3 linked regions of the Struthio camelus genome follow. The protein of the gene in region 1 interacts with the protein of each later gene in a biochemical or structural test. Links are inferred from orthologs where the notes say so. Each region holds a gene or a part of one and is shown on either strand. Other genes may lie near its edges.

Region 1 (7,724 bases):
ATTAACAAACAGTTCACAGCTGTAGGACAGCTAGGGATGTGGAAGAGTGAGCTTTCTCCGTGTGGTGACAGAGGTGTTAAATTGACTTAGCTGTACTGTGAAGCCCTAGAATATTTTAACAGTGGATATCAGGATATCAGAAACCCATACAATTCACAATGCCATTTAAGTACATACCAGGGGAAGCACAACCACTATTTTGGAGACTTCTCAGCATTGGTCTGCACATAGCAAAGTGCTAGGGTTCTTTAGGTGGGCTTTTTTTTCCTCCCCCCCCCTTCCTTTTTTTTTTTTTGAAGGGAAAAAGATAAAGGTATTCTCAAACATATCAAGCCTAAGTCATGATTTCAGTATAGTTGACTTAACCCACCATCCCTCTTGAAGTTTCTCAGGGGAAGGAAGCAATAATCCTTCTTAGCATCCTGGGTTCAATGAGAACTGGCACATCATGCTTGGTACCAAAGACTATACGCCCAGAAAGAAAGTGTCTGACTTTAAGGAATTCAGGAAAAAAGTAACACAAACAATTAAGGAACGTGTTTGGAAAAGACTTAGCTCATCAGGATATAGCAAGCTAATAACTCTAATGTACCTACTGGGGATGTAAGCGATAAAGAAATAGAAAATTAAGGAATTAGAGAATATCTGATTAGCTTTAATTTCATATAATTTCTCCATTAGAAGAGCCTTAGGCATCCTGTGTGAGAGCGTGCTGTAAATAGTATCTGAAAGGAGATGGAGGGTAGGACTGAAACTCCCATCAGCCCTTGCTGCTGCTGGAAGGGAACTGGTACACTCTCAAGCACATGGCTCTGCCCATTCTCTTGCACCAGTTCTGACACTCACAAGACCCTTCTGCGCTCCAAATTAACCAACTACCATAGCAGAAGAAAATTTTTTTTAAACTAGATTTGTTCTCTGACATTGTAATCAGTTGAATCAGCTAATGGAAAGGTCTGATAAGCAACAGAAACAGCAGATGCAAGAGAATGCCACTGCAGGGGAAGAAATGAGAGGCAACTCCACCTTTCAGAGGTGGAAAAAAAATCTTAAGTTACCTGTATTTCATGGAATTGTATCTTAACTGGGCAATGCTGAACACTTCTTTCATAAGACACACTTTCCTCACGTATCCTGAGCCACTTGAAATGATACCATTAAATGAACCTACTTAACAGCTCACTCCTGTTGTGAGATGCTCACCTGCCCTTCAGGGAACCATCAACCTTGCTAAGCCAAGAGAAGACCAAAGTAAGAAAACCTTGCAGGCCTAGAGAGCTGAACGGCTTCATTGTGGGGGCTCAGACAATGGTCACACTTGACACAGGGGGATGAGGTTAAAGATATCCCCTTTAACAGTAGCAGGCTGTTGTCTCAATACATCCATCTCATTTCACTGCACCCCAGGCCTCTTGCAGTGCTAATTACTCCTTGGAGTCTATAATCCAGCAGCTCCCCTCAAATTACAAGTCACACAGACTTCCTAAAGTATACTAGGCCTTAGCATTGGCCTAAGCTTTTACACCCATGCTAACCAGAGAAGCCCTTATACTATATGCCCAGCTTCCTACCCTCTACACACTTCTGCGTGTTGAGTTTTTAAACGGCCGGCTCTGTAGGTTCCTCTACGACCGGAGACTCGAGGGGCTCAACAGTATCTCATAAAGGGCGGGGGGGGGAGGGGAATACAAGAAAAGAGGCAGCCGCCGGTTTGGGGCCGAGGGCGCTGGGGAGCAGCACGGAGCCCCGCGGGCGGCACCGGCGTGCACCAACCCCACCAACGGCACCTAAAACAGGCGGGGGGGAGGGGGGACCCCGGAGCGGGGGGAGGGGGAGCGAGGCGGGCTCGCCCCCGCCGCCCGGCCACTCCCCGGTGCGCCGCCGCGTGAGCCCTCGCCCGGGACCGCCACCCGCTCCGGGGAGCCGCGGGCGGGCACCGGGGACGGGGCGAGGGCGGCCCGCTGTCGGCCGGGGCCGGGGCCGGGGCCGGCACTGACCTGCCGCCGCCGCTCCGAGCTCTCCCCTCTCCGGGCGGCGCTTCCGGTGACTGCGCGAGGGCGCGTCACAACCGCGCGCACGCCTGTGACGTCACAAGGCGCCAGGCCCCTGCCCAACGGCGCTGCCCGCGGGGCGCATGCGCACTACGACGTGCTGCCCGTGGCCGGGGCAGAAACCGGTACTAAGCCCGCTGAGCGACAAGGGAAAGAGCCAATCACAGAGCTCCAGGGCGTCCTAGTCGCTCGGGTAAGCAGCCAATGGGCTGAGAAAAATGAGGGCAGTGTGAGTTATGATTGGGGGCGTCGGGAGAGGGCGGGACGCTCAGGGGCTGTTGCTAGGTAGAGTAAGATGGCAGCTTTGGACCGGGTCAAGGTGCTGGTGCTAGGCGACTCCGGTGAGTGTCCCTCCCCCTCCCGCACAGTACGCGCGCGCACAGCGAGGGCGGGGGGACGGGACAGTTACACTCCCCCTCCCCCCCAGGCTCCTTCCCAGGGGGAGGGGGCCCCCCTTCCCCGGTGCCGGGGGGCGCGGCCGCTGCTTCCCGCCGCCCTCCCGCCCAGCGCCGCCGCCTCGCCCTGACGAGAAACCGGCCTCGCTCCACCCGCCCGCGGCCCTTCTCCCGGCCCGCCTGCGTCTCCGGAGACGAGCGGTGCCAGCCGAGCTTCGGCGCTTTGCTCCTCCGTTTGCCCCCCCTCGCCCCGGCTCTGTGCCGCGGCCGTTGGGCACTGACCGTTGGCCGTTAACGGGCGCCTGGCGCGGCGGCCTCGGACTCGCCTTCGAGTCAGGAGGGACTGACGGCGGTGCCCTGGCCGCGCGTTGCACAAACGCGGTGGTTCGTTGAGGGCTTCTGTCGGTTATCTCGCCGCCTTTTTAGCTGTTTTTATCCCAGACACGTCCACTGATCGGGTGTTGTTCTCTACATGCGTTTGCAGGTGTTGGGAAGTCTTCACTAGTTCACCTCTTATGCCAAAACCAGGTGTTGGGGAATCCATCTTGGACAGTGGGCTGCTCGGTGGATGTTCGAGTAGGTGATATTCCAGGCGTTTTTTTTTTTTTTTTTTTAAGTACACATAATTTAAAATGCGAAAGAGGAAATCGACCTTGTTTCCCAGTGTTGTGGGCTTTTTGTTACAAGCTCAACTCTCAGCTGGGCTGATTCAGACTTTCATTCTTCTAAGGGATGTAAATGAGCTTGAACTTAAATAAGCTTGAAAGCAAGATTCTTAGATTTTTGGAATTTGATTCCAGTCTTTAGTTAATTTGTTGTTTTCATTACTTTGCCCCACAGAAAGAGGTGTGTTTCAGTGTTTTGTAAAGTTGAAAACTGTTAGAAGAAAAAGTATCAAATATGTGCAGAGCACTTGTGTGAGCAAATTGTGACTTTACAAGATTGCTAACTAAAGAAGCAAAGATTCTTGTCATTCATAGAGCCTCCTTATCGCAGTGACCACTGAAGTGTTATAAGTTGATGAGCAGCCCATTTAAATCAGAGGATACAGAACTTGCACTACGCTTCCCTGAGAAACAGTCAGTGCACAATTAAATTGTCAGCCAAACATTGGAGAACAGAATTGGCTGTTTGTTTGATTTGAGGATTTCTAGCATGACCATGGGATTGCTTCTGTTGCAGTCTACTCATCACGGCGCCTAGTATCGGGGGACTGTGAGTTTACTCATCTGGTAGTTTTTGGCCTACCTGCAGTCCTTTTGGGATAGTGATAAATGCTTCCTTCCTTCCTTGTATGCAACATTCTCCCTAAAATGCTTTGCGGTAGCTTAGGAATGATCCTGTCCTATTGTCTAGGAGTTTTATCTCAAAGAATGCCAAATTATATTCCCAAAATTTTGGGAAAGAAATGTTGCAGTTGTATTTGACTGTGGAGCAAAACTACGCAGCAAATCCTGGGAGGAAAATTGCTATTTGATTAATTCACTTGACATGTCGATGAGAATTTAGGAGTAAAAAGATGTGGTCAGTCTAAATCTGGTGTAGTCAGCCATGCTAATATTCTTAATTATGCAGTATTGTCATGTGATTTTTAACAACTGCGAGAAATCACAACCTCATCTTTTCACCTGCTTTAGCAGCACATTGTGTCCAAGCACTCCATGAGTCATTAGGTTTGCTAGTGTTTAGGAGGAAAGAATGTTCCCTGCTGACTCACCAAGCTTCATCTCTTGTAGGAACTGCAGTGACCGCCGTGGTCGTTGCCTGACTCAATCCAGTCAGTCCTCTTCTACTTGAGAGATTTCAAATGATGTCAGTGTTAGAATTTACGAATTTCTGTCCAAATGCAGTAGTCATTGCAGCTGAATGTTTAAGTGTTGTGTGGATTAACTCCTGCAAGGTAATGCTGTGATTACGTATGGTCTGAATTTTCCATCAGATTCATGACTACAAAGAAGGGACTCCAGAAGAGAAGACCTACTATATTGAGCTGTGGGATGTTGGCGGTTCAGTGGGCAGTGCCACTAGCGTGAAAAGCACACGAGCAGTATTTTATAACTTGCTGAATGGTAAGTTTGCTTGGAGTAAATCTGTTTTTGTCACTTTCTGCTGTAAGCTGTCTCTTGGCTTTGGAGCAGGATTCCTTGAGTCTGGCTGAGGGCTGTGTTGTTCTCTGTACTCATTCCAGTACATTTATACAGGAACGAGTGATACCATTCTTCAGCAGAATTTTATGGACTCAGTTTTGAACTGGAAAACTATTTCAGGCAAGCCTGTGCAAATGAGCTTCATCCAGCATTTTACTTTGTGTCACTATCCCAGCCTTGTGCAACGGGCACGACAGGGGATGTTTGAAGTTGCAGTGGTGTCCCTTCCAGCTATCCTTGTAGATGTGAGAGCTGGTTTCACCTTTCCAGGTCTAATTCAGAGACTTAATTTATGTTTTCCTTGTCTGTTTGGTTCCAAAATCTAAACCAAGGAAAAGTTTACTGCCCATAAAGCACGTACATGAACTTTGATGGTTATGTCCCACCCTGGCAAGTTTGAACAGATCTCCCATAACATTGCAAGAATCTGATGACCGTCTTGCCCTCTGTTCGCTTAATTTGGCAAGTGATTTTTAGTAATTAATTCTTGCAACTTGCTGTTAATAGAAAGATAGATTTTATGCCTTGGAAAATATGGCATCCCTTCTTTTGAAATAGTGACCTGTAGGTCTAGTAGTTCATCTGGAACACAGAAGTAGCGTATAAGATATTATGAATATAGTATTTAAAATGCAGTATCTCATTAGATACTATCTAGATACTAACAGGTACTATCTATTTGACATGCAAGGACAGTTCACTGAAAATAAGAGTATGCTAGGTTAATGACTACTTCAGAAAACTTAGTCCCGGATGTTCTATTTCGATTCTCATTTCTTGGTCATCATCATCTGAGGGCCCTTCATAATTATGATTATTTCCCCTTTCCCAGGAGAAAAATTGTGCGTAGGTGCCTTTTGCTTACATTATACAACAAGACCCCTCTAAGTAAGGCTGAGCTGAATTGTGCCCTCAAAGCAGAGGCCTTAAAGCAAGCTGCTTTGGTGTATAGAAGAAGTGGATTTCTTTTTGGCACCAAATCCACAATATTACAGTTCGTGTTGGTCAGACTTGGAAATATCCTAGAGCAGCACATGAGGAGATGAAGTTTTGAACTTTTGTATCTGACTTCTAATTGATGGAATTATGAAAATTGGGTTGCTTTATTACCACTGCCCGAAAGACATTAGCCAGTTCACATATGAAAATTGTAGTCTCTGGTAGTTAGCCTTGGCTCTAGTTTCTTTCATTAGATACATTTCTTCATTAGAGCTTGTCTCACAAATTGCCTCTCTTTGACCTGATGCGAGAAGAGGAGCGCATTACTTCTGCCTGACTGCTTGTCCTTTCTGGGCTTGCAGTGATCTGAGAAGTCTGAGATCAAAAGACAGTTAATGTTTGGTTATAGCAGCATCTGTGCAGACTGTCAGGGAGACTTGGTTGCTGAGGAGGTGAGGTATCATTCACTTTTGGTATGGCCACAGATCATCAGCTTTCATGAGCCTGCATCTGTTTTGTGCACGGTGATAGTCCGAGACAGTGAACAGGTAGCAAGGCTGTGGTTTTCAGACATTTATGTAGCAGGAACAATAGTCCTTGGTCTTGTCTGCTCTTTATTGATGTTGACACAGTCTTTTCCGCCGGTCCAACTACTTGTGTAGTTTTGAGCGAGGCAAGTAAGGAAACTGACCAACGAAAAGTGTAAATAGGGGAGAGAGGTCGTTATTTAGGTCAAGGATGCCTGAAAGAGGAGGAATTTTCTTGCAAGTTATGCAGCAGTGCCTCTGAATCTGTTGCCATAAGCCAATTTTTTTTGCATCAGGCTTTCTCTCTCTGTACTGGGGGGTGGACGCAAGGTCAAGTTGCTCTTTTTCTGCTAGTACTGAGATAAAGGCTTTGAAAGAGTGATACTGTTGTGACATGTTGGGGGAGGTGCTCGTTTTCTTGTAGAGTTCTCATAGGAGTCTCTGTGCAAAGTAGTGTGGGGTAGTGGAGAATGCGGCTATGTGGTTTGCTCTTAGTGTTTACAGTGGGTGGCATCTTTGGGAGGTAACCGATGAAAGATTAAATGAAATAAATTTTGTACACCTGTGGGCTGTGAAATGTGTATTGAGAACAAATCCCGATAGCGATGAGAGGTATAATTGCATCTTATCCTTGAATAAGTGATGGTTTAAAGTCTGGAGAAAGTGGGAGCATTCCACAGGTGGCAGAAGGTGTGAATAAATAGAAGATATTTGCTAGCAGGAGTTGATAATTGAGTTAGGAACTCTGGTTATCAGAAGTGGGTGTCTGTTAACAGCACAGCTAGAAAGTTTGGCTGGCAATTTTCCTATCTCAGGATTTACATTTTGAAGGCTCACGGTAATGAAAAATGCTAGAAGCTTTTTCTTGACTACATGGAATCGTATTAGCGCGTGTTCTTACCAAGCGTTTGGTGGACTGTGAAAGTTCATCAGAGCCTATTTCCCCTTTGGATACCTCCACAAGTGCATGGCATTAGTTCTTGAAACTGTGGGAAGGTAATAGTGCTCTGTAAACCCTTCAGAACCCACCCAGCCCCAAAACAGCCTTTCTGTTTCTTAGATTGTGTGACAAGAAAAGAGTTGTGTGTTTACCAGCTAGGTAGAACAGTGAAAGGCTGAATTCTCTGCTGTGTTAATACAGAGTTTCAGTATCATTAGGATTACATTATTAGAGGATTAGAACAGAATTGGGGAATGCCTGCCAGCCTGTTGCAAATTAAAACCTAAGATGGATGTTCTGTTCCTCCTTTCCTGGGTTTTTCTTCTTATCCAACTCCTGAGAAGGAGCTTTAAAAAACTGCTGCATTTTCGTATTTTCACCTTAACTCATTCCCTGTAGTTCAACGAGTTATCTTTCCCTGTCTTAGTTCCCAGACGTCTGGGAACCTGCAGGTGCCATTTTGATAGGAAAAGGAAAAACTGTATATCATGAAATAGCATCTTGCTGCCTGCTCTTTTACTTTAGGGATAATTTTAGTGCATGATTTAACCAACAAGAAGTCATCCCAGAATCTGTATCGCTGGTCTTTGGAAGCACTCAACAGAGATGTCGCTCCAACGGGAGTTCTAGTGACAAACGGGTGAGTGAAAAGCATACTTGTGCTCTATGACACAATGATTCTAGGCTGTTTTAGAAGTATTCGGTCTTCCCTAAGCTACTTGAAA
Region 2 (7,933 bases), on another chromosome or scaffold:
ACAAGATGGGATGGGGGACAGGACAAGGGGACAAGGTGGGTGGGACATGATGGGGGACAGAAGCAGCGACATGGGGGGGCAAGATGGGATGGGGGACATGGAGGACATGGCAGGGACATGGGGGACAGGATGGCATGGGGGACAAGGCAGGGACAGGGGGGACAGGGCAGGGACATGAGGGACAAGATGGGATGGGGGACAGGACAAGGGGACAAAGGGGGGCAGGACGCGATGGGGGACAGGGCAGGAACATGGGGGACAAGGGGGACAGGACATGATGGGGGACAGGGCAGGGACACAGGGGACAAGATGGGATGGGGGACAAGGCAGGGGGACAAGGGGGGATAGGATGAGGGACAGGGCAGGGACACGGGGGACAAGATGGGATGGGGGACAAGGCAGGGGGACAAGGCGGGACAGGATGAGGGACAGGGCAGGGACACGGGGGACAAGATGGGATGGGGGAGAAGGGGGACAGGGCAGGGGGACAAGGGGGAACAGGACATGAGGGGGGACACAGCAGGGACATGGCAGAGAGGACCACCGATGAGGGGACAGGGCAGGGGACCCCGGCGTGCCTGGCTGTCCCCACCGCCAGGGCGGACGAGGTGACGGTGCCCAGCTCTGGGGCTGTCCCTGCAGGGGACGTGCCCCCCCTCCCCCGACGTCCCTGTCCCCATGCCCACCTCGGCGCCCTCCGGGGACGCGGCCGGCCGAGCGCTGGGCCCCCATGCCCACCTCGGCACCCTCCGGGGACGCGGCCGGCCGAGCGCTGGGAGGACACCGGGAGCACTGGGAGGGTGCTGGGCAGGGGCTGCCACGGGGCCGGACCCGGACACCTGGGCTCCCTCCCCGCGATAACCCTTGTTATTACCAGAAGCTCAAGGCCACCGGGACGGACCCAGGCGTCCGGGCCCCCGCGTCACATGGGCCGTTATCGCCCGGCTCGTTAAGGCCCTCGTTAGGGCTCTGCCGGTGCCAGGCCCTGCCCTGCCCTCCCTGAGCCCCCCCCAAGGAGATACCAGCACCAGGGTCTGCTCAGAAGCTTTATTTTGTGGCTGGGGACGTCCCCAAGGGTCTCCTAGGCCTTGGGGACATCCCTAAGGGTCTCCCATCCCGTGGAGATGTCCCCAAGGGTCTCTTAGGCCTTGGGGACATCCCTGGGGCTCTTCCATCCTGTGGGGACATCCCCAAGAGTCTCCCATCCCAAGGAGATGGCCTCAAGGATCTCCTAGGCCTTGGGGACATCCCTAAGGGTCTCCCATCCCATGGAGATGTCCCCAAGGGCCTCTTAGGCCTTGGGGACATCCCTGGGTCTCTCCCATCCCATGGGGACATCCCCAAGGGTCTCCTAGGCCTTGGGGACACCTCTGACTCTGTCCCCTCTTTAAGAGATGTCTCTAGGTTTCTCCTTTTTCCCCAAGGACACCCCTGAGTCTCTCTTGTCCCTCCCTTGGGGACATCTTTGGGGGGGGGTCATGTCTCCCTTGAAACCTGATCTCTGATCCCCCATCTCTGATCTCTCTCCCATCTCTCAGGGACATGCCTGGGTCCCTCCATGACATCCCTGGGTCTCTCCCAACCCTTGGGGACATCCCTAGGTCCCTCCGCAATGTCCCCAGGTCTCTCCCAACCCTCAGGGACATCCTTGGGTCTGTTCCCCACCCTTTCCTTGGGGACATCTCCAGGAATCTTGTCTCCCCTGGTGGTGTCCCCAAGCCTCCCCCATCCCTCAGGGCTGTCCCCAGCCCTGTCCCTTCCCTAGGGGCCGTCCTCAGGTCCCTCGTCCCCCAACGTCCCCCCACCCCGGGCCGCGGGGGCATCCCCGGGTTCCCACTCCCTGAGGACGCGGAACGGGGGCCCGTGACCCGGCACGATGACGTCGGCCACGGCCAGCACCCGCCGACGGCTGGCCTCCTGCCGCGCCGGGTCCTCGCTCAGCTCCCGCCAGACGCCCTCGTCGCCCTCGCGCTCGAAGAGGTCGCCGGCCACCACCACGGTGCCCAGGGCCGTGCCGTGCACGGCCACGCTGACGTGGGCGCCCGTGTGGCCCGGCGTGGGCAGCACCTCGAGGTGCCCGGCATCCAGGGCGTAGGGTTGGCCCCGGGCCAAACCGTGGGGCAGGTAGAAGCCGGCGCCACGGCTCAGGTCGAAGCCCACCAGCAAAGTGGCGTCGGGGAAGAGGTTGACGTTACCGACGTGGTCGGAGTGGCCGTGGGTGCAGAGGACGTGGGTGACGTCGGCCGGCGACAGTCCCTGAGCCGCCAGCAAGGCCGGGAGCCGCTCGCGGTTCCACGGTCCCCCCGTGTCCACCAGGGCCGTCAGGGGTCCCCGCACTAGGGTGATGGAGCCGTCGGCCAGCAACGAACCGTCGGGACGCGCCTGGCTGTAGCCCTCCTGCAGCACCCGCACGGAGTAAGGGGTCCCCGGCACCTCGTGGGTCCCCAGCGATGCCGTCCGTACCCCTGGCAGCATGGCCGCCCCGGTTTGGGGTGGGGGGGAGGACGGACGGTGCGGTGTGGAGGTCGCGGAGGTCACCGAGTCAGGGCGCCCTGAAGAGAGAGTGGGGAAGGGTGCAGGACCTGCCAGCTTCCCCCCGCCACTGGGTGAGTGGTCTCTCCCAGTGCCTCCCCATTATCCCCAATGGTCTCCCCCAGTCCCTCCCCATTATCCCCAATGGTCTCCCCCAATCCCTCCCCATTATCCCCAATGGTCTCTCCCAATGCCATTATCCCCAATGGTCTCCCCCAGTCCCTCCCCACTATCCCCAATGGTCTCCCCCATTCTCCCCCCTACTATTCCCAATGGTCTCCCCCAATACTCCCATTATCCCCAGTGGTCTCCCCCCGTCCCTACCCGCTATCCCCAATGGTCTCTCCCCATATCCCCCCATTATCCCCCATGGTCTCTCCCAGGCCCCCCTCTCCCTTGTCCCCAGTGGTCTCCCCCATTTCTTCCGCTGTCCTCCCCTCCATGTTCCCCCCCCCCGTTACCCCTCCGTGGTCCCGTCCGCAAGGCGCGCCCCCTCACCCAAACAGCTCCGCGCGCCACTGCCCCGGAAGGGGCGGGGCTCCCGCCGGAAGGTGGCAGTGTGCGCCGCCATCTTTAGAGAGAGAAGTCCCGGGCGCCGCCATTTTGGGGAGGCGGACGGGAGGCGACGAGGGACAATAAGCACAAGAAGGTGTTTCCGCCCCCCAAGGCGTTTCCTGCCCCAAGGCTCCTACCCGCTCCCCGTCGTGGCGGCCGCGGGGCTCAGAGCTCCCCGGAGTGGTCGTGGGCCGGGGGGTGGGGCGCTTCGTCCTCACCACCCCCCCGGACCCCCTCTGCCGCCCCCTATCATCCCCAGAGACACCCCCCCCCCCAGCCACTGCCCAGGATCCCCTGGACCCCAAGAGCCCCCTCCAAGATCCTTTGGGACCTTCTCACCACCCTCCAGCACCTCCTGGGATGCCCCCTGCCACCCCTCAGGATCCCCTGGACCCCACCCCCCAGGACCCCAAGAGCCCCCTCCAAGATCCTTTGGGACCTTCTCACCACCCTCTAGCGCCTCCTGGGGTCCCCAGGGCTCCATCTCCATGTCCTGGGACTCCCTTAGGACCCCGGTGGCACCACAAGGATCCCCCCCCCCCATGGTCTCACCTGCTGCTTCAGCTGTGTCACCTCGGCTGAGGACTTGTCCCACAGCTCCACGGGGACCCCCAGGTCCACCTTCACCCCCTTGTTCATCAGGGACTTCAGGGTGCTACTTGCACGCTGCCGGAGGTCCCCGCGGTCCCATATGGCTCACAGCCCCATATGGTCCAGTCTTCTATAGCCCCAAGCCCTGTATGGACCCATCACCATAATCTTGAATGGCCCAGGCCTGCCCCAAGTCCCATATAGATCAGTTCATGTAGTCCTATATGAACTCCGCCCCCATAGCCCTATATGGGCTGGTCTCTATAGCCCCACAGACCCATGTGGAGCAGTCCCTATATCCCCATAGGGACCAATGCCCCCCCATAGCCCCTCCGGACCAGCTGCTAAAGCCTCAGTGGCTCAACCTTCATGGCCCCTATGGCCCGGGGTCCCCATAGCCCTGTATAGCCCATTCACTGTGGCTCTAAACAGTCTGTTCCTATAGTCTAATACAGACCTGTGTCCCCGTAGTCCTATATAGCTCAGTCTCTATAGCCCCCTATGGACTGGGGCTCTATAATGACATACAAACCACTCTCTATAGAGCTATATGGACCAGGATCCCCTATAGCCCTGTATGGCCTGGTCCCTACAGCCCCATACAGAATAGGGTCCCCATAGTCCCATATGGCCCTTTCCCTACAGCCCCATATGGACCAGGCACCCCGAACAGTCCTACCTAGCCCAGGGTCCCTGTGAGCCCTATACAGACTGGTGCCTATAGCCCCATATGGACCAGGGAACCCACAGCCCCATACAGCCCAGGACCCCATTGTCCCATATGCCCCTATCCCCCATACAGACCAGGGACCCTGCAGCCCCATATAGAATGGCCCCTATAACTCCATATGGCCCAGGGAACTCATAGTCCCAAATAGACTGGTCCCTATAGCCCCATATATGGCCCAGGGAACCCAAAGCCCTATGCAGCTTAGGGCCCCTATAGCCCCATACAGCCCAGGGACCCCGCAGCCCCATATAGACCGGTCTCTATAGCCCCACCCGGACCACGAAACCCACAGCCCTATACAGCCCAGGGCCCCTATAGCCCCATACGGCCCAGGCGCCCGGGTCGCTGGCGCCGCGCACGCGCACTGGGAGCGGGGCGGGCAGCACGCATGCGCCCCGCCCTGGAGGCGGTGCCGGCTCCACCGGGACGCGCAGGCGCGTTGCCCGACCCGCCCGCCGCCTCGCAGGTCCTGGCAGGGAGGTAGTGAGCGCGGAGCGAGGGGGAAAGGAAGGGGTGGGAAGGCTCCCGGATCCGCGGCCGGGGTCAGACTCGCCTTAAGCTCCGTTAAACGCCAGGCGGTTTGGGCTTCTTCAGCCTCGCCGCCGACGTAAAAGCGGGCGAAAAGCCCTTCGAGGATCCCGCCCCGCAGCCCCTTCCCCAACACAGCGTGCAGCGGCCAGGACCTGGCGGTGAACGGCGGCAAGAGGCGGAGCCAAGATGGCGGCGGCGGCGGCCGGCACCGGGAAGGCGGCGTGAGAGGTGGGGGAGGGGGCCGGCTCCGGGAAGGGGGCGGGGTCGCGCTGCCCTCCCCCTCCCGGTATATTTTTTGGGGCGGGGGGGGGCTTGTGTGCGCATGCGTGTGTTCCCCCCCCCCCCGGGGTCCCCTTTGCATCAGGGTCCCCCGTCTGCCCCGGTGCCCGCGTATTTGGGGTCCCCCCCGGGCGGGATGCCCGTGGCGGGGGGGTTCCGCCGGCTCTGCTGCCCCGGTCTCTGGCTCTGGGGCTGCGCCCTGGGGTCCCCCCCCCCCCGTGTTTGGGGGTCTCCCCAGCCCAGGGGTTCCCCCTGTGTTTGGGGTCCCCCCCCCGCCTTAGGGTTCCCCCCGTGTTTGGGGTCCCCCTGCCCTTCACCCTGCGGTTCCCCCCGTGTTTGAGGGTGTTTAGGGGTCCCCCTGCACCCTGGGGTTCCCACTGTGTTTTGGATCCCCCCCGCCCTGGGGTTCCCCCCATATTTGAGGGTCCCCCCCACCCTGAGATTCCCCTTGTATTTTGGGTCCCCCCCCACCGTGGGGTTCCCCCCCCCGTATTTGGGGGTGTTTGGGGGTCCCCCCCCTGCCCTGGGGTTCCCCCCGTGGTTGGGGTCCCCCCCCCCCGTGGCATCCCTGTGTCGGGGACCCTCCCACTTGCTGCTGTGTCCTAACGTCTCCATATTGGGCTCTCGTTGCCCCCCAAAACGACCCCGTGCTCTCGATTTCTATACGATGCTCCTATATCCAAATCCCCCCTGTTTAAGTCCCCCCACCCACGATCTCTTTACATCCTATATATTTAGGATGCCCCCGCAGCACCTTTATATTGGGGTGCCGTTGTCTCCCCCCACGATGTCCCTATTTCGGGGTCTCCCGCGTTTCCGCTTCGCCCTAAATGTTTCCTTCCCGGGGTCCGGTGTAGGGACCCCCCTTTTTGGGGTCCCTACACCACGATCTCCGGTGCAGCTTGTAGGACCCCCTCCTTGCCCTGCTGACCCTGCCGCCCCCCTCTGCAGCCCCCCACGACCACCACCAGCACCCCCCAGAGGAGGAGGAGGAGGAGGAGGATGGCGGAGGAGAAGAAGCTCAAGCTGAGCCACACGCTGCTGCCGGCCGAGTCCATGAAGGTGATGGCCGAGGCCATGGGCATCGGGCAGGTGCCCGAGGAGACCTGCCAGCTCCTGGCCGACGAAGCCAGCTACCGCCTCAAGGAGATCGCCCAGGTAGGGGGGGACACGGTGGGGGGGGACACAGAGGGGACAGGGACAAGGACAGAGCCTGGGGTGGGGAGGTCTCTCAGCCCCAGGCTTCGGGGAAGGGAGGGAAGGTGACAGCACGTGTCTCACCCACTCCGTCCCAGCGTCACTCAGCCCCTTCCCTGGTGGTGTCCCCTGTCCTGGGGGGGCCGTGGGAGGCTCCTCGCTTTGCTGACCCCCCTCCCCGGCCCCCCAGGATGCCCTCAAGTTCATGCACATGGGGAAGAGGCGTAAGCTGACGACGGGGGACGTCGACTTCGCCCTCAAGCTCAAGAACGTGGAGGTACCGCAGGGACCTGTATCTGGGGGGGGGGCCTCTGGGACTTGGCAGAGGTCTGGGATGCTCTGGGGGGGCTCTGGGAACCACAGGGGGGGCTCTGGGGATGCTCTGGGGGGATCAGGGATGCTCCTGGTGGGGCTCTGGGACGTGGCAGGGGTCTGGGATGCTCTGGGGGGGCTCTGGGATCCACACGGAGAGTCTGGGGATGCTCTGGGGGGATCAGGGATGTTCTTGGTGGGGTTCTGAGATGTGACAGGGGTCTGGGATTCTCTGAGGGGGCTCTGAGATCCACAGGGGGGGTTCTGGGGATGCTTGCGGGGGTCGTAGATGCTCCTGGTGGGGCTCTGGGATATGACAGGGGTCTGGGATGCTCTGGGGGGGCTCTGAGATCCACACGGGGACTTTTGGGATGCTTGGGGGGGGGGGTCAGGGATGCCCTGGGGGAGCTGCCAGCCCTCCTCTAAGCCCGCCGTTGCCCCCGCAGCCGCTCTACGGCTTCCACGCGCAGGAGTTCATCCCCTTCCGCTACGCCAGCGGCGGCGGCCGCGAGCTCTACTTCTACGAGGAGAAGGAGGTCGACCTGAGCGACATCATCAACACGCCGCTGCCCCGCGTGCCCCTAGACGTCTGCCTCAAGGGTGGGCCTAGGGGAGGTGGCCTGGAGGCATCGTAAGGGGGTGACGGCGGGTTTCGGGGTGGAGAAGAGCTGTTCCTTGCTGTTTGTCACCGCTTTTTGTCTCTCTCTTTTTTTTTCTCAGCTCACTGGCTCAGCATCGAGGGGGTGCAACCCGCCATCCCCGAAAACCCTCCTCCAGGTGAGTGAGGGACCCAGGTGTCCCCAGAGCAGCCCCTCCTTCTCCTTGGACTCCCCATGGGAGATCTGTCCTCCTCATGGGGAAGATCTGCCACTAGCTCCTCTCGATCTGTTCTCCAAAAAAGAAAATTTGCCCCCGATCCCTGGTAGTTTTGCCTTCCCTGGGATAGATCTGCCCCCCGTCGAGGCGGATCTGCCCCCCTACCAGCACAAATCTGCCCCAGTCAGGGGGTAGATCTGCCCCCAGTCCTCCCATGCTCTGTCCCCAGCCCCCAAGGAGCAGCAGAAAGCCGAGGCCACGGAGCCGCTCAAATCCACCAAGCCGGGGCAGGAAGACGACGGGGCCCTGAAGGGCAAAGGCCAGAGCATGGCCGCCCCTGACGGCAAAGGTAGGTCACGGAGAGGTCCCTGGGGTGTTTGAGAGGGGTCG
Region 3 (7,826 bases), on another chromosome or scaffold:
ATCAAAAAAGAAGCAGCAGCACACTAGATTAGAGTCCTAGGGCTCAACTGCGGCTGTAAGACAGAAAAGAACTTTATGAAGAAAAGAAAGGGAGACAGGGATAACACAGGAAAGTGTTAGGAGAAGTTTGAGTTTTCTGCTTTCTCCTTCCCTCTCCTCTCGCTACCTCAAAATCATAGGTTTACATAAAACCGGTTAGCTCTAAACCAGTGGATCTCTCAAGATTCCTTCCAACTTTATCTTCCATACATAGAACACATCAGATTCAATCCAGTAAGCAGATTTCACACAAACACACGCCTCTTGTCAGGCCACTTGCTTGTCCTTCCTGAATAACAGATTACAAATAAAAACACATGAGACTGAAGGACAGCTGTAGAAAAGCTTTCTAACCTAGATTCTTATAAATTGGGAGTGAATGAATGAAACAATTATCTGAAAACCTTAATGAGACATTGCAAGTCCAAGCAATAAAGAAACAAGCTAGAACATCAAATTAGTATCCTGTTGCAGTAACGTAATGATCAGCACCAGGAGCTCAGGAGAGTCAAACTGAATGCATTGACTAATGCATTAAATGCTTTGAAACAACTGAGAATATGATCTTGTGGTAATGTATGTCGCAATCAACTGGGAGCTGTAACGCAGTTTTCAACTCAACAGCTACTGAGACCACAGTCAGAGTTGTTTATGTACAGCGGTGCGCTTGTTTCGAAGACTTCCTCCTCCATGCTAATTAAGGAAGAAGCTGCTTACCTGTTGTGTTTCAGTACCAGCTTTACCTTCCCATAGCTGACAGTACACAGCTACAAACAAATAAGAATAGTCATTAGGAACGTATAAAGGATTGTTTCTAGGTTTGGGATCAGATACTGCAACACATTTCCATTTTTTGTGGGAAAGGGCAACAGAGTCAAACATTTACTTACAGTGTTATTATGCTTAGGGAAAAAAAACTACTTTAACAACTACTTTCAGATTATGCATACATCATCTCACATAGGAGATCAACCACAGACATTCAGTTTTTATATTCAATTCCAGTCTCCTTCTAGGATGGCAAAAACACACTTGCAAGATAAGGAGGCTCTGTTTTATAGTGCACCAACTACTCCAGCTAACTTCCCACATTACTAACCTTCAGAGTAAATATGAGGAAGCTTACTCCACGTGCGTTTCCTCTGGCCTAAAGCATGCACACTAAGGCTTTGTTTTAGGACCTCCATTTCAAGCTATAAGCCACATATAGGCTACATTATGAAAATATTATTTGTGCAACCATGTATCTTATTTTTTGTCTTTATCCACAGTAAAGTCTCTGACCTCTTGAAACAGAGTAACAGGATAGAATATGACTGTGAAAGCAATGAGTGAGTAAAAACCAATGAAGCAGCAGCAGCAGCAGGAAGAGATTTCCGCAGTAGCAGCAGATAAATTTCCCATAATAGGCTTACCTTGATAAACTGAATTATTCCATCTGGGACACCAGTCTTGCTCAGTTTTTGTAAATACTCTGTGATGTCGCTTGTTTGTAAGCCAACACTAACAGCAGCATAAAGCGAGTAAGCAGTCAGCTTGTATTCATGGATGTGTGTTGGTCTGCACACTGGCTCAGCAATAGCAACCAAAAAATCCTGTGCGTATTTGTAAACTGGAGAAAAGGCTTCCAGAAAGATATGGCCATCAGGAGCCTACACAAGGAAGAAAAAACATGCTGAAAGCACACCAATGTTAGTTGAGAAAAACAAGGAGTGTCCTGTCAAACAGCTGTTATGACACAGAATGACTTCACTCTTTAGGTGATAACGTTATCACCACGTTTCAGAAAAAGTGACGACCCTAACAATGAAATTACAACAAGCAGAAATAATATAATTTTATAAACAAGACCTAAATTAAAGAAATGAAGAAACTAACACAATATACACTGTATATCACTGTAGCTGTTTCTCCCCATCAAGGTGTTGAGACTCTTTAAAAAAAAGAGAAAACTTTACACAGAACTACAAAAACTGACAAGACACAGAAGGAGATACAGGAATATGAAACTTTCATCTTCTGCGTTTGTCAGTAGCCTTTCTAGGATGCTAACAAAAAAAACACATCCAGATTGATTAAGCTTTCTAGACTAACATCTTAGCCTTTTTCTCATTCTTTGTTTTAACAATTAAAAAAAAAAATACATTTTCTTGCTCCAAACAGGAGCAAGCTTCCAAACTTCCCTTCCTCCCCGTCCCCCATTTTACCAGAAGGAAGAGAGGAGGAAAGGTGCCAACTGTGTTTCACAGCATTCAATAACAGACACCCTGCAGAAGCTGGCAGGGCAGCTGCCTCTTCTAAATATGCTTTCGCTATTGGCCATGTTTTACATAGGTTTCTTGACTTCCCTTTTAACGCAGAGAAAACAAACGGTACCAGATAGGGGATATCAGACCACGTTGATTAGTGACGTTTCATTCCAACGTACAAACCAAGTTACTGCGTGAGGGACCAACGCATCCTACTTGTCTTATTAACTCCACCGGTTTCTGCCAGAGCCGGTTTCGCATTCCTCCCGGAAACAGCTAGCTAACGTACTCGTGCTCCCCCAACCCGTTAAGGTGACTGCACGCGTGCAGAAAGGAGCGCCCGGCGCGGCGGCCCCCGCCCGCCCCCGCCGGCCGCGCGGCCCGCACGCACCACCCAGAGGGGCCGCGAGGCGTGGTCGGCCTTCAGCGGCATGTGCTGCCGGTAATCCTTGGCGCCGTACTCGTCCACCCGGGCGCCGCTCTCCTCCACCTGCTTCCCGGCCGCGGACGGCACCGCTTCCTGCGGGTCTTTGCCGGCAGCGTCATCGTCCTCCTCGTCGTCCTCTTCGTAATGGCGCTTCTTGGACTTCTTCTTGTCTGCGAAACCATCAGGAGCGGGGTGAGCGGGGGGGGGGGGGCGTTGAATGGGGGGTGGGAGCCGGACCCCCCCCCCCACCGCCCCCGCCGCGCTCACCCCGCTCCTTCCTGCCCATGGCCGCCTCGCCCCGCAGTGTGGGGGGGGGAACGGTCGCGTCACTTCCGCCGGGGAGGGGCGTGACGTCACGGCCGCCCGCCGCGCCGGGGGCAGAGCGGGAAGTGGAATATTCCCGTTTGGGGACGCTCAAAGCGCCGTTTTCGGCAGGCGCCGCGGCCGCCCGCGCAGGGGAGGGAGGTGGCTGCTGCCCGCCCGGGCGAACGGAAAGGCAGCGACCAGCAAGAAAATAAAACAGGTAAATACAGAGAAACTGGTTTAAAAAAAAATCAAAAATGTTTATAATTTTTTTTTAAACAAGAACAGTTTTGAAAACATAACAAAGTCAAACGTGCATGAGAGGCGACGGACAGAGCGCACGGAGTCGGTCAGCTCTTTCTGAGCTAGGGCTTAAGGACAAGGCAGCAGCGCGCCGCGGGACTAGCGCGACAAGCCTTCCTTGGCACCGCTTTAGGCTTTCTGAAGAGCACTGGAAATTCAGGTGTTGGATTGACATGCTGCTCGTGTAAGAGAGTAGGCCAAGTCTTTAAAGCATGTTGCCAACGTATGACGTTCACCCATCAGCAGGGGGACAAAGGTGCTTTAATCTTTTCCCAGCATGAGCGAAGGAGCAAGGGAGAGGGGCTGCCAAGGAGAGCCCGAGGCAGACCGGGGCAGGGGAGCGCAGAAGGGGCTTCCCCGACTGGTGTTGTCTTCCCCCTTCTTTATTCCCCAGTCAGCTCTGGGGATTCAAAGATTGCTTTTCACCTTTTCAGAACAGTGTATTTTCTCTGCATCAATTAAATACTTCAGCATTTGGGGTTTTTTGTCCGTTTTTTTTTTTTAAACAAAATTCTTAAAAGAGAAATCACACTGTTGTCCCTACAGAGTGTTTTAATATCATCTCTAAAGTACAATTCGTGTCTGATTTTGGAAATACAAATACATTTTGAATGGTTAAAAACAAAAATTAAAAAAATATTTTGAACATCAGCCAGCTGAAAATATATTTATCTAGTAAATAATCTCTCAAAGCTTTTATATATTTAATTATTCTAACTAAACATAGTACCCTTAAAAAACAAGTTCATAAAAATGTAAAAATGAAATTGTGGAATAAGATTACTGGGATATATATATATACACACAACCATTCAACGCATACATAGAATTACAAGTACCCTTAAGTTTGGAAGGTTGTTAGACAAATGGAACTAGTAAGCAACGCTCAACTCCTGAGTTCCTCAACCAAGATAACCATAGGCTAATTTTTAATTTTTTTTCTTTTTTATACACAAGATATTCCATGTAAAGCAGCAACAGCAGTGCAGTTACTGATAGCAACATCTCAAAAGTAATAAAAAAACCATACATCCAGACAGTAGTACATTGCACACACACGTGATTCTCATACGCCCCTCAACAATTGGTCAGAGTATTAAATCAGTGTACAAATTAAATATTTCCAGAAATGTGCAAAAAAGTCAACGTTGATAGAAAAAAACACCTTTGTGTACATACATTACAAACTGTGCCCAGCATTCAACTGAGAGTAAAAACATTTACAGTGAGAAACTGATAGATTAAATAGAGAATTTAATGGCTACATAAAAAAATGTACATTAGATCAAGAGTAAATTTACAAATTTTAATTCCTAGCTTCATGAAAACTAAAAGCCTACGTTCCAATTTATCTAAGTCTCCCTCCACATATTTACAATGATATTCCTTTATATGACTTGCGTGAGGTCTGAGATGACAGACACTATTTTTCATAATAAACTATTTCAATTTTAGGATGACACCACCTTTTAAACTGGTATTCATGAGAAACAAACACTAGGAAACTGACAATCTGATGCCTGTTCAGAAAAGAAAATGCAATCCTTGTTTTTAAATCCACATTATATACTCTTTGGGGAAAAGGATAAGCTATTATTGGGGGAAAAGACATGAAAAACATTTGAAATATTTCCTGCAAGTAGCCACTCTAGAGTTACCATATCCTTTTCCTTATTTCCCCACAAAAGACCTTGACCTCCAGTCCTGATCAGTGGACTCAGAGTAAGGACTGAATCACAAGATAGGATTTTAACGTATTTAATCCAGTTCCTCTCCCTTTAAAGCAGGTTCATGAAGAAATAAGACCTAGCCAAAGCATGACTGCTAACACTGTTTGATACACGAGAATTTTCTCCATCTCCCCTTGCCCCTCAAATATACGGATGTATACATTGCTAGAGAGAAACCAACCAGTTGCTTTATGTAGCACAGCGCGTGGCCACGAGAGTCACCTGCCAAACTCCCCGTATGGCCAGGAGCTGCAGGACACGGGTCGCATCCCCGGAGCGCAGGGCCGCGCGACGCTGCTCTGCCCCAGCGCGCCCACCCCGCAGCCTGAGCCCGACTCCCTCCAGCAGCAGGGATCTGCAGGGCCTCTGACTCCCGTGGCGGAGCCGTGGCATTTCGCTCTATGTTAACGCTCGTGAAATTCAGAAGCTATCGGTGGCCACCACCTACGCAGTATTTCAGTAATGCCAATTAAAATGAAAAAATGGACTGTGCATAGGCAAAGCAGAGAAAATAAAATGAAAAAAGATCCTTTGCTTCCGATCAAGAATTTTGAGTTAGAAACCCCAGTTTGGAAGCAATTCTGCCCCCTTTGGTGTGCGTTTGGGGCTCCTCTTGAAGGCAGCATACACCCCTTAAAGTTGTGGGTGAGATCTGGCTCTGAAGTAAAACAGACTGCTTCGCAGCAGCTTTGAAATTTTCTTATTGTGGAGCACAGAGCAACGTGGATCACGAATCTACTTTTCTTCATGGTATTCCGTAAGTGTCCCAAAACTCAAACCTGGCTACAAAGTAAGTTGCCAAATGCAGTCACCAAGCTTGTACGTTATTTTTAGAATGACATCGATAAGATTAAGTTAAAAAGAGTTTTAAAAAACAAACTCTTCATTTTAATGCTGGCATGAATTTTGCACATCAAAACAGCAACAACAAACACCCAAATCTTTTAAATATGGGCAGTGTCCATCACTTTTTACTAGTACCTGCTTTCTTCAGTTAGCGATAGCTTACTGACATATATATGCGTATATAAGGAACAGTACTAATCCATGAAACATCACTTTTGGCTATATGTAGATGGGGATAGAAAAGCTTTGGTAATTGTATGTGATTTTACACTGCATACTTGTCATGAACACAAGACAGCAAGTTACCAGCAAGAAGAAGAGATACTGGCAGTAATACTTTTGCTTTTCCAGAAACACCATATGGACTTACATTCAAGCACACAAGTTACGCTTTTTCATATGCATGACAAACTTTCAAGACTGAAAAAAAAAAAATCAAAATTCAATTTTAAGTAACTATAGATCTGATCAATTTGCTCAAGTCTCTGAAGCTGCATACGCATTGCTCTATGTTGTCTAAAAAGAATGGCTTGCTGTACTGCACTGTACCTCCTGGTGCTGCAAGAAGGCTTTCAGTCAAGACAATGGCAGGATTAGGATTATCTAACAGAAACAGGGAACAGTTTAACGGGAACAAAGCTAGCTTCACTGAGGAGTTTGCCGAACTGCTAAATCAGAACTAATATTCCTCTATATTGAAAGTAGACAACTTTGAGTACAGTAACATATTTAGAAGTACACCAACCGTCACTTACTAGCCCATTAAGAACTTTTAAGATCTCTGCAGTAAAACCAGAGTCTAGTACCCAGAGAGCTAGGAAACTGTATCTTGGCTGTAACAGCGTCTGTATGAGTGCAGAGAAGTAGTTTTTCTGCATCAGTTTACAGTCTCCAAAATGCAATATGAAAACTGTATTAGCTTAGGTAGTACTCATCAGGAAGTACTTCAAAAATCACTTTTTTAAAGTCTCAATTTAAAAGTCTACAGCAGATTACACATGAAGAACACTTTTCAATGCAGTTAGTGAATTTTGGTTTGGGCACTTGAGAAATGTACTCAAAGACTGTTTTGGTGACACAGAATTGTACGACAGCCATAGCATTTCAATACGGTGTTCAAATATGAACAAAACTAAGGCATACAGATAAAAAGGCACTAGCTAAAAAACCAGCTGTTAAATAACTTATCATGCTGGTATACTGAGAGGACTGTTTAGCTACAGTAGGAATTGCAAATCAAGTGAGTTTTTAAGACTAAATTAAAACTGAGAAAGTAACAGATTTATCAATCAAGAAAAAAGTCAATTATACCCATACCTTTTTTCTGTACTGGCATGGATATTATCATCCTCCAAATTAAAAATGAACAATCTGCTCCTCGAACAGGACTGGGCTGGATCAAGGCTCACCCATTTGTGTTCCCATCAAATGGAACTTGTGTGAACGGTTATTCATCATTTTCCTCATTCCAGCCAAAGTTGGTTAAAAAATACACAGAAGTTTAATAAGATCGGCTGAAACAGCAATAAAAATTCTATTTGTGCCAGAGAGAGCCACGAGCAAAAAATGCCATGAAAGTTATCACCACTAAAGTCAAGTTATACAAGTCGTTAAACTTTTGTTACTTAATATGTGTAAACAGCCAGAATAATAAGATTCATTAGCAGATAAGTCCTTTGAAAATACACATACTCGCTATCAACCTTGACTCTTATTTTCTGCGAGTACAGCTTCATCTTGGCATTTACAGAAAAGCAAAATATAACCCTGCAACAGTATTCTTTCCATTGGTATTCTCTAATAATTGGACCTAGTATTCAAGCATAATTGATGACTTGAAAATGCCGGTATCTTCATTAGTAACATATTAAAAGTTGTCATCGGGGATCTCAAATCCACAACCCTTCTCTCTAATGGAATTTTACGCAT

What was found.
Region 2: the proteins of GTF2E1 (region 1) and TAF6 form a complex in vitro, tested with the Homo sapiens proteins (2 studies listed by BioGRID). The link is inferred for Struthio camelus from reciprocal best matches to the Homo sapiens genes GTF2E1 and TAF6.
Region 3: the proteins of GTF2E1 (region 1) and ERCC3 form a complex in vitro, tested with the Homo sapiens proteins (2 studies listed by BioGRID). The link is inferred for Struthio camelus from reciprocal best matches to the Homo sapiens genes GTF2E1 and ERCC3.

Annotation. Positions count from the first base shown.
Region 1 is NC_090942.1:92,867,741-92,875,464, forward strand, and holds the start of GTF2E1 (general transcription factor IIE subunit 1), read right to left. Parts: upstream 2,931-7,724; 5' UTR 2,729-2,930; intron 2,393-2,728; coding exon of another isoform or gene 2,347-2,392; exon of another isoform or gene 2,272-2,346; intron 2,109-2,271; exon of another isoform or gene 1,998-2,108; intron 1-1,997. Other genes in the region: RABL3 (rab-like protein 3), read left to right, coding at 2,347-2,392, 2,931-3,022, 4,386-4,515, 7,525-7,639.
Region 2 is NC_090978.1:546,310-554,242, reverse strand, and holds the start of TAF6 (transcription initiation factor TFIID subunit 6), read left to right. Parts: upstream 1-4,843; 5' UTR 4,844-5,167; intron 5,168-6,169; 5' UTR 6,170-6,220; coding exon 6,221-6,376; intron 6,377-6,605; coding exon 6,606-6,692; intron 6,693-7,173; coding exon 7,174-7,327; intron 7,328-7,447; coding exon 7,448-7,504; intron 7,505-7,772; coding exon 7,773-7,892; intron 7,893-7,933. Other genes in the region: MBLAC1 (metallo-beta-lactamase domain-containing protein 1), read right to left, coding at 2,196-2,552, 3,031-3,103, 3,640-3,726. UniProt on the Homo sapiens protein: The TFIID basal transcription factor complex plays a major role in the initiation of RNA polymerase II (Pol II)-dependent transcription.
Region 3 is NC_090947.1:29,887,827-29,895,652, reverse strand, and holds the start of ERCC3 (general transcription and DNA repair factor IIH helicase/translocase subunit XPB), read right to left. Parts: upstream 3,080-7,826; 5' UTR 3,002-3,079; coding exon 2,983-3,001; intron 2,908-2,982; exon of another isoform or gene 2,886-2,907; coding exon 2,680-2,885; intron 1,692-2,679; coding exon 1,455-1,691; intron 807-1,454; coding exon 757-806; intron 1-756. UniProt on the Homo sapiens protein: ATP-dependent 3'-5' DNA helicase/translocase. Binds dsDNA rather than ssDNA, unzipping it in a translocase rather than classical helicase activity. Component of the general transcription and DNA repair factor IIH (TFIIH) core complex.